Linked DNA regions of Elephas maximus indicus. The protein of the gene in region 2 purifies or fractionates together with the protein of the main gene of each other region. This does not show direct contact. Links are inferred from orthologs where the notes say so. Each region holds a gene or a part of one and is shown on either strand. Other genes may lie near its edges.

Region 1 (7,478 bases), on a different chromosome or scaffold from region 2:
AGGAACTGCCAGACTTCCCCACAGTGATGGCACTGTTTTACATTAGCACCAGCAATGGATGAGGATTCCAGTTTCTCCACATCCTCACCAACACTTGTTATTTTCTATTTTTCTAATAATAGCCATCTTAGTGGATGTGAAATAATGGTTTTATGATTTGCATTTCCCTTAATGACTAGGGGGAGTCCCTGGGTGGTGCAAAGGGTGAATATGCTTGGCTGATAACTGAAAGGTTGGAGATTAGAGTCCACCCAGAGGCATCTTGAAAGAAAGGCCTGAAGATCTACTTCTGAAAAAGGCCATTGCAAATTCTATGGAGCATAGTTCTACTCTGATACACATGGGGCCATCACCTTGAGTAGGAATCAACATGACAGCAGTGGATAATGAGGTTGAACATTTTTCATGTGCTTTATTGGCCATTTGTATTTGTTCTTTGGAGAAATATCTATTCAAGTTTTTTGCCCATTTTAAAATTGGGTTGTCTTTTTTGTTGTTAGGTTGTAACCCAAAACACCCAGTGCCGTTGAGTCGATTCCGACTCATAGCGACCGTATAGGACAGAGTAGAACTGCCCCATAGAGTTTCCAAGGAGCGCCTGGAGGATTTGAACTGCCACCCTGGTTTCTTCATACATTCTGGATATTAAACTCTTATCAGATATGTGGTTCCCAAATATTTTCTCCCATTCTTCAGGCTGTCTCTTCACTTTGTTGATAAATTCCTTCGATGCACAAAAGTTTTTAGTTTTGATGAAGTCATATTTATTTATTTTGGTTTTTGCTACTTGTGCTTTTGATATCATAACTGTGAATCCAATGTCAAAAACAAGGTCTTAAGGCTTTATCCCTATGTTTTCTTCTAAGAGTTTTTTTTGTTTGTTTGTTTCAGTTCTTATATTTAGGTCCGTGATCCATTTTGAGTTAATTTTTGTATGAGGTGTGAAGTATGGGCCCAAATTCATTCCTTTGCTTGTGGAGATACAGATGTCCCAGAACCATATGTTGAAAAGACTATTCTTTCCCCATTGAATGGACTTGACACCTTTGTTGAAAACCGATGGCTATAGATGTATGGTTTTTATTCTGGACTCTTTTTGCATTTGTCGATACATCTAGTCTTATACCAGTACCACACTGTTTTGATCACTGTAGCTTTACAGTACATTTTGAAATCCAGTAAAGTGTGAGTCCTCCTACTTTGTTCTTCCTTTTTAAGATTGTTTTGGCTCTTTGGGGCCCTTTGCAATTCCATATGATTTGAGCATCAGCTTTTCCAATTCTGCAAAAAAGGCTGTTGGAATTTGGGTGGCGATTGCATTGAATCTGGAGATCACTTTGGGGGATATCGATACCTTAACAATATTAATTCTACTAATTTATGAAAATGGGATGTCTTTCCATTTATTTAGGTCTTCTTCAATTTCCTCCAGCAATGTTTTATAGTATACAAGTCTTTCGTCTCCTTGGTTAAATTTATTGCTAGATATTTTATTCTTTTAGACACTATTGTAAATGGAATTATTTTCTTAATTTCCTTTTCAGCTTGTTCATTGCTAGTTTATATAAATGATTTTTGTGTGTTGATTTCTTACCCTGCAACTTCGCTGAATTCATTTATTAGCTCTAGTAGCTTTCGTGTGGATTCTTTGGGATTTTCTATATATAGGATCATATTGTTTGCAAATATAGTTCTACTTCTTCCTTTTTAATTTAGATGCCTTTTATTTATTTATTTTCTTGTCCTACTGCTCTGGCTAGAACTTCCATTACAATGTAAATAGTAATGGGTTAAAATGGCCATCCTTGCCATTTTTCTGATCTTAAGGGGGAAGCTTTTGGTCTTTCACCATTTAATATGATGTTCAATTGGCTTTTTCAATAATGGCCTTTATCATGTTTACAATTTTCCCTCCTATTCCTAGTTTGCTGAGTGTTTTTATCACACGAGTGTGTTGGATTTTGTTAAATGCTGTTTTTGCATTGATTAAGATGATCGTGTGGTTCTTTTCCTTTGTTCTATTAATGTGGAGTATTAAATTGCTTGATTTTCTTATGTTGAACTGCTTTTGCATTCCTGGGATGAATCCCGCCTGGTCATGGTGTATAAGCCTTTTAACATGTTGTTGGGTTTGGCTTGCTAGTATTTTGTTGAGGATTCTAGCATCTATTTCATAAGGAATATTGGTCTGTAGTTTTCTTTTCTTGTGGTGTCTTTATCTGGCTTTGGTACCAGGGTAATGCTGGCCTCATACAATGAGTTAGGAAGTCTTCCCTCCTCGTCTATTTTTTTTTTTTGGAAGAGTTTCAAAAGGATTGGTGTTAATTCTTAAATGTTTGGTAGCATTCACAAATGAAGCCATCTGGTCCGGGGCTTTTCTGTGTTGGGAGGTTTTAAGCCTTAAGTTTTGGTGTGCTTTTTAAATGCATCAATATGTAACTAGAAAGCCTACCTATTTTGTTGTCATGATATAGCATCAGATATGATAGATACAGACCCTACTTTCATGGAGTTTCCATTCCAGATCTATCTCCTTCTTGGCAAGTCAGGAACAACTATTTTCAGAGTTATAACTATCTATGAGATGGCTGTTTGGCTGTGCTGTTAAGCCTAGATTCGTAGATGTCATTGTTAGGTATCATCAAGTTGATTCTGACTCATAGAGATCCTTTGTGACAGGGCCAAACTTCCCCACATGGTTTTCTTGGGTGTAATCTTTATGGAAGCAGATTGTTGGGAGCACATCGCCAGGTCTTTCTCCTGTGGGGTCACTGGATAGGTTTGAGCCATCAACCTTTTGGTTAGCAGCCTAGTGCTTAACTGTTTGTGCCACCAGGACTCCTTCCATTTGTAGGTACAACTGGCAAATAGAGCTTATTCATTTATTAATTTATGCATTTAATCAATCAGTCAACTTCTCAACTTGGAGGGGATGCCTTCTCTGACCCCTCCATGGTGGGAAGCAACAAGTCCTTTCCCTATTCTAACCCTTGTTGCTGAGCATTGTTATTGCTAGTTTGATTGTGTCTCCACCGATGACTAGCTGCAGTCAAGTTCTTTCTATGTTATTCATCTTTGTATCCCGAGCATCTAGCCTAGTGCCTGCACATAGCAGGCCTATTTAAAAAAGAACGAAACCAAACCAAACACACTTAATTGAAGGAGAACTGCTAATTCCTAGACATACAAGTAATTTTTCCAAAGACAGTATCTATCTTCCGGGCAGCCGTGGTGGCGTAGTCGTTAAGAGCTTGGCTGCTAACCAAAAGGTCGGCAGTTCAAATCCACCAGCTGCTCCCTGGAAACCCTATGGGGCAGTTTTACTCAGTCCTATAGGGTCATTATGAGTCGGAATCCACTCGACGGCACCTAACAACAACAATCTTTCAGGAGCTCACAATTCAGCACAAAACGCTGTGTAGGACCCAGTCTGACAAGCTGTCTGAACTGAGTCCTGTGGCCCAACAGAGTCCAACGCATTGGAGATGGCAGGTGGAAAGGGGCACGGGAAAGGATTCATTCATTTATGCCACAACGTACCATACGGTAAGCGCTAAAATATCTCTTATCAAATGCGAGCCACTGTTCCAGGTATTAGGTATATACCAGGAAACAAGAAAGTTGTGGTGGCCGTGCCTTGGTGAAGCTCACGATGTAGCGAAGGACGACAGGTAGCAGACCTACTTAAAACAGTATGTAAAATTGTGCTAGGTGCCGAGAAGGAAAATAACAGGCGGCAGAAATTATCTTAAGGATGTTAGACTCTTAGGTCCGGGCAGCCGTGGGCAGGTTTTGAGCAGGAGCGGCCATGAGGGGGCGGACTCTGGGGGGCGGGAAGACCGCAGACAAGAGTCGCTGGTAATTTTAAGATGTAAATATTTTCCGCCCGACTTGAAGAAGGAGCGTATGCCTAGGGGCGACGTGGTCGCTCAGTGTGCTTGGTGTTCTCCCGGGGCGCACTGGGCTGCATTTTGAGCGCAAGCTCGGTTGCCCAGCAGTGTTGGGCGGGCTGCGGGGAACTGCAGCCCAATCTCCCAGATTTTTTACGTTCGGCACATCTAGATTCTTCCGCCCCCAGAACAGCAGACGCACCATCCGGGCTCGGATCCGGGCCGCAGCAGCGGACAAGGTCTAGCGTGCCTGGAGTCCTTGCACAGCAGCGCTCACCCCCGGGTCTTGGGGTCTGCAACAGCCGGCGGGCGGGAGGGGGCGGAGCTTACTCTGCGGACCTAGGCGGTGGCGTGGGACCCGTCCCTCGACCTAGGCCCCGCCTCCAGACCACAATGATTGGTTCAAGCCCGCGGAAGGGACGGGCGGCCCCGAGCTGCCGGGGGGTCGGGCTGGAGCGGGGGCGCTGATTGGTTCAGCAGGGATTAGGTCATCGCTAGCAGGTTCGAGCGGCCCGGACGCCGGCGGGGCGGCAGAGGCTGCTGTGAGAGGGCGCTCGAGGCTTCTTGAGCAGGAGCAAGCTAAGGAGGCGGGGAGGCGGTGTCCGCACTCGCTCGCCTGCTCGCTCGCTTCCAGGCGCCGCTTCGGGTTCGCTGCTGCTCTCCCTTTTCGCCCACCGCTTAGTGGCGCGCCCCGCAGCAGCCGCCCTTCGACCAGATCCAGGCTCATTTCGGGAGTCTTGCGCGCCCGCCGACACCGCGCGGAGAGCGAGCAGGCGCCACACCTGTGGAGCCGGCGACCGTCGGGGGTGCGGGCCGAACTCCCGCCGCGTGCGTGCTCGGGGCGACAGTCCGCCGGGGCCCCGGGGGAGGCGCGCCCCCGGCTGGGAGCCGCGGGCATCATGGGGCTCCCCGCTCTGGAGTTCAGCGACTGCTGCCTCGACAGCCCGCACTTCCGTGAGACTCTCAGGTCACACGAAGAGGAGCTGGACAAGACCAACAAATTTATCAAGGAGCTCATCAAGGACGGGAAGTCACTCATCAGCGCGCTCAACAGTGAGTGCCCCCGAGCCTGGCGGGGACGGCTGTGCCGGGGCGGGAGGGGTCGTCGGGCGGTGCTCAGTCCTTGTCGCCCGCGCGCCTCCGGGTTTTTTCACCCAGCTGCACTGAGTGACGGGTGTAGATGCTCATAACGAGGCAGGAAGGACACATAAAATGGGCGAGCCAGCAACAATCAGATGAGGAAGGAGACCCGTCGCCCAGCCGTTTGCGTTCTGGGTTGACAGGGAGGTGACCCGAGCACGAGTGGTGCTCTTGGGCGCCGCGGGTGGGTGTGGGCGGCATTCAGGTGTCCCGCAAGTGGGGCAGTAGTGCCTGGCCCGCCGCAGCCTGTCGGGAAGCCTCATCGCGTTCACTGCTCTGGCTCCCTTATGGGAAGAGTTATCACCCCTGGGTGCCTAGCCGTAGGGCTGGAGCGTGCTCTGCCGAGAAGGCGACGCCTCCCCTCGGGAAAAGGCAGGTGTGACTATTTCGATCCCGGTATGCAGCTCCCAGATTGGCGGTTCGAACCCACCACCCGCTGAGCGGGAGAAAGATGTGTCAGTCTGCTTCCATAAAGATTTACAGCCTTGGAAACCCTATGGGGCAGTTCTACTCAGTCCTATAGGGTCGCTGTGAGTGGAATTTGACTTCAGGGAAGTGGGTGGGATGCAGCGCTAGCCTGCTCAAGGCCGCCGGCTTCTCCGAAAGGCAGAGGGCTGCCTACGGAGGGGCTGGGTGAAATGGTTGGTTAGCCCGCGATTCTTTAGAGTATTGGCAGCAGGTCGCCCCCAAATCCAGCATCAGTGCCATTTACGTGTGCAGGTTCTGAATTTTGTGTTTAGCAGAAGGTGATTGGGGTGGGAGTAGAGAATCAGAGTGTTCCTTTACTCTAAACTGTGGGCGAGGGTTTAAAAATAGAATGAACATACCCTGACTCCCTCTCTCGTTCCCTCGTTCTCCTTTTTACCTCTCCCATTATGCTTGAAAACTCAAATGTTGGAGAAGAAATGTCCTCTGTCCGCACCCAGAAAGAAGTTTAAATTCATCTTAAAGATTCTCTAACCTTTCGTAAAACTGCCTTTTTGCTTTCTTTCTTTGTGGTAGGGAAGAAATGAAATTTAAATCCTGTATATGGTTTTCCCTTGACTTGCACAGATGCCAGGGAGTTTCTCCTGGCCAAAGAGAGAGTGGTGCTCTAGGGAATCAGCGCCTTGGATTATGAGAGTGTTTTTGGTTCCTTTTCAGTCTAACCATTTTAAAAATAGTTCAATCCATATTATAATTTCCAGAATTAGAAATAATACGAAGGCAGATAGTGGAATTGTCTTTGACTCTTTTACTTTCCTGTCTCTGATGGATTTCTTAATAGGTGGTATATTTCAACTATGAAAGTTTGCATTGGTAGAGTGGGGTCCAAGCTGTGAGAATTGCATGCAGGCCTCCTTAAAGGAGTGCCTGAGGTGTCATTTTGTGAGCCTGTTGCTTCTAAAAATGGAGACAGAGACGATGGAATCCCAGGGCAGCAAGTGCCAATCTTTTGGGGTGAAATGAGTATAAAACTAATGGGAGTAATGAGGCATCTTAGAGGCAGGGTCTCTGCTGGGATCTGTGCCTTACCTGAAGCATATGAATAGACTCTTCTTTTGTCAGTGACCAGGGACTCCCTTGACTCAGGGAACACTGGACCCCTGGTTTGGAGCCAGTTAGGGGCTCACTTAGGGGTTGGGCCCAGGAATTTTGATTGAACTCTGAGGCTGCCTTGAATTTGGACCCCTGATCATTCAGCAAAGTTTGGAGTGACTGGGGTGTGCTGGGTAATTGCGCTGGACACTGAGGATGTCGCAGTGAACATTCTGTTGCCACCATGGCTGCGGAGGTTTACTCCATGCTGGACGCGGCTTCACCTAGGAGTTACCTCATACAAATGAGAAAACTGAGGCTTGAGGATACACTAGCCCAGAGTCACACAGCTCTAGTGGCTGGGCTTAGTTTAGTACTCAATGGTCTCAGCCAGAGATGAAGTTAATACTCTTGCAGAACTCTTGAGCCTGTTCCATCCCATTTGCCCTGAATGGAACTCTCTGGACCAGACCTGCTAGAATTTGGACTTGTGTTTTATACTTCAGCCTTGAATCTGGGGAGATTGCATTTGGGTGACTGGCAATTTGCCCAACTACTTTTTTTTTTTTTTAAGAGTGCTTTGGGTAGGAAGAAATATTTCAGTGATGGGGTTCGAGGGCTATTTCAGTTGTCTAATTGACCAGCCCTATAACTTGTGAGGAAGACTGATTGGGAACTAGGTGTAAAAAAAAAAAAAAAAGTACTGGTCTCTAAATCTAGCTCTACCACTAAATGTGACCTTGAACAGGTCATGTGACCTTTTAGAGCTTTGGTTTTCTCATCTTTAAAATAGAGTGGAGCTGTTTCCCAGACTTCAGGCATTCACTTATCAACTAGATACTGCTGTGTTGTATACTGCAGTTTTGGTATTTACGTATTTATTGAAATTATCTTTACCACTACTGTAAATGTAAAACCAGTGTTTTTTTC
Region 2 (7,473 bases):
CAGGACCAACAGATACAGGTTTGAGAAACTTCTCTGACCTTAGAGTTCAGTGCACCTATGTGAGATGGTACCTGAAAGGCCACTTATCCAGCTCACTCTGCTGCCCTCTGCCATTCAGAAAAAGAAAAGAGAGGGAGAAAAATAGCTGACACTTCGAAATGGTGCTTGCTTGGTGCCAGGTTCTGTTCTAGAGCTTTACATATACTAACTCCTTAATCATCATACTAACCCCATGAGGTGGGTGCCATTATCCCCATTTTACAGATGAGGAAACTGAGACACAGAAAGGTTAAGTAGTCTATAAGGTCACAACCCAGAGAAGATGTCACCATCTCTTGGGCCACAGCCTCTCCCTGTCAGCTACCCTTAATCAGGATGCTTTCTCTATATTTGGGAGCCAGGGTAGATGAAAAAAGAGGTTCACTGCTGAGAAGGGTTGTGCCGAGCTACTTGGAGAAGGCAATCAGAGGCCTGAATGAGAGGTCAGGGCTTGTTCCCCTGATGCTCCAATACCACAGGTGGCAAAGAGTACAGTACAATGGATCACTTTTACATGGCCTTTTAACTCCTGCCAAATGATAGGGTGGGACTATGCAAATGAGGTACTTGTGGCCCACCAAGGGGGTTGGATAGCTTGTTAATAATGCAGATAAGGTGCATGGCACCCTTGTGAGGGTGGGACCATGCAAATAAGGTATATGGAACCCTAACAAGGGGATTGGTCAATTTTGCCATCCCGCTAGGCTTAAAATGAGCCATCCTATAGGTGGACAGGGGAGACTTCACCACCACCAAGAAGAAAAGGTTCAAGTGGAGTGCATCCTTCAGACTCGGGGTCCCTGTGTTGAGAACCTTCTATACCCAGGAGACAGAGAGAGAAAGCCGTAACACTGGAGATGGCATAAGACAGTGAGTTGGGATGACAGGGAAAGGAGAGCAGACCAACAAGAGACAGAGCAGTGGGTCTCCCGGCCCAAGGAGCAAGGCTGTTACAGTGGGTGTGCTGACCTAGGGATCCACTGAGCAAGAGACCTGAGAGCCTTCAGGCAGGAGGCTTCCTTGTGGAGTGGGGGGTCCCTGGGCACTTACTGGCAGAGCTAAAGAGCTTTGTAACACTTGCCCAAGCAGACAGAGGCTGGGCTGAGAGGCTGAGGGACCAAGGGCCAGAGAGAGGCCTGCCTGCGGGCACAGCTGAGAAGAGGCTGTCCTGATGGAAGAACTGTGTCCTGAGTTGTTCCTGATCCTGAATTGTAACCTGTTACTTCCCTAATAAGGAGCCCTGGTGGTGCAGTGGTTAAAGTGCTCAGCTGCTACCTGAAAGGTCAATGGTTCGAACCCACCTGCTGCTCCTCTGGAGAAAGATGTGGCAGTCTGCTTCTGTAAAGTTTTATGGCCTTAGAAACCCTATGGCGCAGTTCTATTCTGTCCTGTGGGGCCACTCTGAGTCAGAATTGACTCAACAGCAGTGGGTTTATATTATTTATTTATTTTTTGAACTTCCCTAATAAACTCCTTAACTGTGAGTATGGTCTGTGAGTTGTATGGCCATTGCAAGGAATTATCAAACCCAACAGAGAAGCAGAGAGTACCGAGGGAGAGATGGCTGGTTTTAGATTTGGTAAAAAGGTTGAAGAGAGGAGGTACGTCTGACCTCCACCTCATTGGATTCAGCTTTGGGCTGATGTGATCGTGATTTTCTCTCCCCCTCCTGAAGTGAGAGGCGGTCAGGTGCCCACCCCCCATGCCATTTTTATAGAGGGCCCACTCCCAGATCGGTTCCTGGGGAAAGGAGGAAGCCCTCACTACCTCACTCCAGGCTGGAGCAAGGAAGAGGAAAACCTCCTTCCCAGAGGCCATTTCAAACTGACTGGTGCCAAAGCTGACCTCAGCGCAGAGTAACTGCTGATGCCCACCCCAACTCTTGCAGGGCCCCCTATACCCTCCACCTTACCTTTCGCCTCTCCATCTCCTGAGCACCGTAGAAGGGGTAGGCACCCCAGTCTCAGGGTCCCCACCCCAGGTCTGCCCTAGGCCCGCTGGGCCTAGCTGGGGAGGGCAGGGGCGAGGCTCAGGAAATCCTTTGACCGCCCTAGGCGAGAGAGCCAGAGCCAAAGGCCTGAGCAAACAAAGATCCCATGGAGCTAGGGGCCCGGCCACCAGGGTCCTGAGTCACCCTGCTGCTGCTGGGCGGAGGCTTGAAGGAAATAGGAAAATGTGTACAAGCCACCGCTGAAAGGAGCAGACGGACCTCCGGAGGAAGAGGGTGGGAGAGGGGGTGGACGCAGGCTTGAAGGCTCTCTAAGCGTTTGGGGTAGGGGGAGCTCAAGTAATCTCTGCTTAGGACACCTCACCCCTGGACATACCCCATGGTCCTGTCTGTTCTGCTGGGGCCCTATCTTGTATACACACGTTTGCGTTGGGCTAGGGCACCTCCCCCTCCCCAGTAACAGACGCATACACAGGCTTGGCCCCCTGTGCCCACTCGCGCCGACTGCCAACTTTGGGCTGGAACCCCGCCGGCCGCGGCGTTCTGGGCTGGAACTCTGTGTGCCTGGAGGTTCCGCCCCGGCGCTGTGCTAGGACCTTCCCCTCGTGTACATTCCCCGCGCGCCTCGTGAGCTCGGGGAAAGACCCCGCAGGTGTGCAGACTGGCCCCCTTCTGGGACCCCTTTTTACGCGCACACAGCCTCTTCACGCCCAGGGTCCCTTCCCAAGTGCCCACACGAACCCCCTTTGCTTTCCCGGCTAATTCCCACTGCCCCTGGTGTCCCGCCTGGAAGAACCGATTTTAGGAAACTCTGGGGCCTGTCCAGGTGGCTCTGATTGACGATTCAGACGTGCTCATGGGCTGGCCTGACTAGAGGCTGCTCTGAGTCACCTCGTGGCTGATTTAGGGAATAACCCCAGTGCGCAGATCTTCTTTGAGAAGACGTAGCGGGGCCCGGGACAGGGACTGGGACTGGGAAGGGATGCGGGGAAGGGTGGGGGTCGCGGATGGAGAGGACGGGACTCGGGGCGCGGCGGAAGCTTTCCCCTCACCCCCTCGGCCCCCGCCCGGGGCCCGCCCTCTCCGGATGCAGTTCACCTGCCGCGGCGCCCCCTCCTCCATGGTGCCGCTCGGGCCCCTCCTCTCGACTACTCCGGTTCCGGAAGCCCTGGCTCCTCTACCAGGACTTTCAAACTTGAAACTTCCCGGGAAGCGGCGTTGGAGAAGCGGGATCGGGCGCCCCCTCCCGAGATCCGCTGGCCTTTCCGAGACCTTGGGATTAGCGCCGCCTCTCGGCCGCGTCTGATCAGCGCCCTAGATCCTGCTCCTGAAATCGGAGGGCCCAGTACCTCCCCGGTGGGGCATTTTGGACCCCACGGACCCTCTCCTTAGGCCGCAGTTCCAGCTCTGTTCGGTGACCCCCGGCCCGGAACAGAAGGCGCAGAAAGAACCATTTCCCCGGCCCTGGCTCCTTAGCATTGCCGGCAGCGCACTTAAGAGAGGCGGAGCTGGGTGGGGAAAGGCCCCTCGGTACGTAGTTGTTGTTAGTTGCCGTCTGTACCCAGCAGACTCTTTAAAATGGGGAATCAGGTTGTCCTGAGCTGAATGCTAATGCTTATCCATACGTAATTCATAAATAAAAAGGGGTTCCGCTTTTGATAGCAGCTCATAGGTTCAAGAGAAATCCTTGAATCAAACTAGCAATCCTCCTCCTTTCAAGGAATTATCCAATAGTGCAATCAATCAAGCCAACCAGCACAACGCTAATTAACGTTTAAAAATAAACGTATTTGACTGGATGGAGAATGTCGCTTCTGCAAGCCAAATGGATTACCTGATTCAACTCTCCATGGGAGGGTGTTTCCCAACTCGAGGATCATTTATCCACTCCCTGCAGCCAGGAAGCTGAATTATGTGGGGGAACTCAAGATGGTTTTCCTGTGAAATCTTTCACTGCCTCATATGTCACTTAAGGGAAAGGAGTTCAGAACTAACAGCATCCATTCACCCCTCACTTTCTAATGCACGCAGGCGGGGCAAAAGCCAAGCTTCAACAGTCTCCAGTCCTGGGCTGATGGATGAAGAATGACCAAAGAACTGTATCTCCTGTCTGATGGTGATAATTCATGGGATTGTTAATTCTTAGGAAAACTGAAGCTTGTGCTCAGCATCTAGTGGATAGTGAATAGTGCAAACCAACTCTAACGAATTGGCTGTTCAAAGACTATACAGTCAATCTGAAAGGAATCTACAACTTCCTAGCAGGCTACTTAAATAAGGTAACATTTTCCCTCTTCCCCTACACATTTTTTTTTTTCTTAGTATTGCAAACATCAGTCTGTCTATGTTAGATTTGCCTTCCTTGGGTAGAATCTGAGTGTTCTAATCACAAAAAGGCAGTCCTTTTCCTCAGACCTGTTAAAAACTAAATTTGTATGCCTTCACAAGCACAGCCATATATTAAAAAAGGAATGGTCCCTGCTGGGGGGGAAGGGGATTAGACTTTTCAAATGCCAAAATGTTGTTCTCCATATAAACAAATGGAGTGGCTATTCACTCATCTCCTGAAGAACTTGTCCCAGCCTTCAGGAAATCCTGAAGTTTTCATCCTTCGTAAAAGAATTCTGTATTTGCAAAGGCCAGGAAAGGTTCATAGCAAAATCTAACAGCAGAAAAACATGTTTCTGTGACCAAGCGAAACCATAAATTGAGGTATATGCATTATGAAACAGTAATTGAGAGAGGTTACCAGATGAATTAAAAAACAATTACTCAGAATAAAAAACTCGTATGTTTTAGCTAGCCAGATGTAAAGCAAACTTGTCAGCCAAAGAAATCCAGGTACTCTGTGGACCATTTAAAAGAGTTGGGTGAAATATAGAGGGTGCTGGCATCTTATGGAGATAACCAAAAACCAAATGAGTTGACTCCAACTCCTAGCAACCCTATAAAACAGAGCAGAACTGCCCCCATAGGGTTTCCAAGGACTGGTTGCTGGATCCAAACTGCTGACTTTTTGGTTAGCAGCTGAGCTCTTGGCCAGTGTATCAACAAGGCTCCAATGGAGGTAGGGGAATCCAATTAAATGTCTTATTTGAAATCAGGACATCATTGAAGCAGCAGCAACCTCAACAACTGCCAGAATAGCCTGGAAAAGGACATTTAAGGTTTTTGAACTAAATAAGAACACATTAGGAGTTGCTGTCCTCTGCCTTCCCAATTCATGCAGTTATTAAATTCTCAAGTACAGCACAGCTTTAGAGGATCATGCCCTTTCCTGAATAGCCTGAATAGCCACTATTTGACTTTTTCTTTTCTAAATGTCCTTATAGCAAAGGGGCTTTGAGTTACTCATCCAACCTTTCCCAATACACACTTGCCCGAAGTTTGGCCCAAGAACTCCTCTGGCAGTTGGTGAGAAAGTATACTATTCCGCAGTGATTTTTCAAGAGGTTGTCCTGTCTCTTTGCTCCCTCACAACCTAGAACTTTTACAAGATTTGCAGACACAAAGGGAGTCTAGAGTTGGATCCAACTCATAGCAAGCCTACAGGAGAGTACAACTGCCCCACCGGGTTTGCAAGGAGTGGCTGATGGAGTCAGACTGCTGACCTTTTGGTTAGCAGCCAAACTGTAAACCACAGCACCACCAGGGCTTCCGGATTAACAGGGGCAAACCATTACCTTAGAGGGCTCCCACTTTTTCAGACCCCAAAGATATGAAATATGCTTCAATGTGACACATAACCTAACTACCCCACAATATTAACCAGGACAGAAAACTCCCGGTTGTGGTCAATGGTAACTTTGTGAAACAGACTCACAAGCTCACTTCAGTGGGTATTAATTCAGCAGATTATTTTTCCTAGTGGAAGTCCTTTAAATATGGAGGAATATTTGAAATATTCAATTTCCGGTTTACTCACCTAAATAACAGTAATTTGTCCACAATTTCTGTATTCACCAGCTCAAACCTTTGCACATAAATTTATCTATTTGAAGTTTTCCCACACCTCCCCCCCCCGCAAGGATGAAACGAGCAACCAAAAAACTGAATAGCTTACCACCATCTAAATCCAAAAGCAAGTTTCTCTACAAAACAAGGCGAATGACCCCAGTCAAAAAAAAATCTTTATGTTCCTTTATTGGAGCAAGATTCCTGACCAGTACAGTGATGTATTTACTAAACATAGAGTCCTGTGCAGAGAAATTACATACTATCCATCTAAACAAGTTTTGTTACACTTTGCCTCTTGATGGAATAGTTCCATTTATAAAGTTTTATACATCAAAAGTTTTGAATTTGACCAGGCTGGCCACTGATTCATCTCTGAAAACGTTAAGTGGCGTTGATTTAGCTACATATTTTACAGCATTAAAAAAGCTTATGCATTAGGTAGCTTCTCAAAATGTTACTATGTGCACAATGGCATTTAACAGACCGAGCAAAGTCCGTCACCTCACCCAGATTCACATAGATGAGTCTCATCTGAGATAGCTTTAGGTTGGAGAGCTGGTACTTGAAGACAAAGAAAAGTACTCCTAACCTGAGTTTCTCACCAACACAGACATACTGAGCGCCTGTCTTCTTAGGCACATGTCACAGTGCCAATGAAGACATGCCAGCAACTGCCCTGTGTGTGACTCGGCATTAGAGCACCAGACCTGATGGCGGTGGCAGGCACTATTATAGTTATTACATCCAAGTAAATAAGGGCCCATTTTTTTTAAATTGCCACTTGAGATAAAAATCAAGGGTACACATACTGAATTTTGCGTAATCTAGTATCCCCAATGTGAATATTTTCAGAAACCGATGACAAATTGTATCCAACGTTTCCCAGCTATGGAGCCTTTAATATATTGATTCAAATCCCTTTACTCAGTCCACATAGCCCTGAGGTCATCCTGCAAAGTGCGTATCAAAAAATATGGAGTTAAGGTGACACAGTTTGACAACGATATGTTAAACAAGTCAAACTTGGAGGTCTTAAGTATATCTGTTCTGAGAGAAAAGCATCAAATCCTTTGTGTACACATTTAGTTTTATTGTAACAAAGCAACTTGTACACTTTTAACGTTTAAAACTGAGCATCTTTCCTTTCCAGTGAAAACAAAAAGAAAATTTAAAAATAAACAGGAACAAAATTACAATAGAGAATGTCAATTCCAAATTAAGATCCTACAGGTTCTGCTGATTCTCCCATCAAGTGGCAGGGCTCAAGTCATCATTAGGAGAGAATTTTATTTTAAAAGTGTCATCTTAAACTGCAAGGATGTCCGTTAAACATCACAATTAAACATGCCAAAGGAGAAGCCATGTTGTCAAAATGCCCACTTAACCCACCCAAACATCTCAAACCCACCCTTTGCTGACCTTCTATAACCCCATTTTTTTTTTTTTTAAGTTTTTTTCTTCTTTTTTTAAACAAGAGAAAGTAGACAGATACATGTTGGTAAATGCTAACTGTCCATATTCACATAGAC

The links. Proteins that work in one complex are often made in the same cells at the same time.
Region 1: the proteins of PKN3 (region 2) and ARHGAP26 purify together in Homo sapiens (affinity purification with mass spectrometry; 3 studies listed by BioGRID and IntAct, with this or other methods). This does not show direct contact. The link is inferred for Elephas maximus indicus from reciprocal best matches to the Homo sapiens genes PKN3 and ARHGAP26.

The regions. Positions count from the first base shown.
Region 1 is NC_064820.1:156,212,846-156,220,323, forward strand, and holds the start of ARHGAP26 (rho GTPase-activating protein 26), read left to right. Parts: upstream 1-4,397; 5' UTR 4,398-4,789; coding exon 4,790-4,943; intron 4,944-4,949; exon of another isoform or gene 4,950-7,478. UniProt on the Homo sapiens protein: GTPase-activating protein for RHOA and CDC42. Facilitates mitochondrial quality control by promoting Parkin-mediated recruitment of autophagosomes to damaged mitochondria.
Region 2 is NC_064827.1:79,680,254-79,687,726, reverse strand, and holds the start of PKN3 (serine/threonine-protein kinase N3), read right to left. Parts: upstream 3,078-7,473; 5' UTR 1,967-3,077; coding exon 1,952-1,966; intron 1-1,951.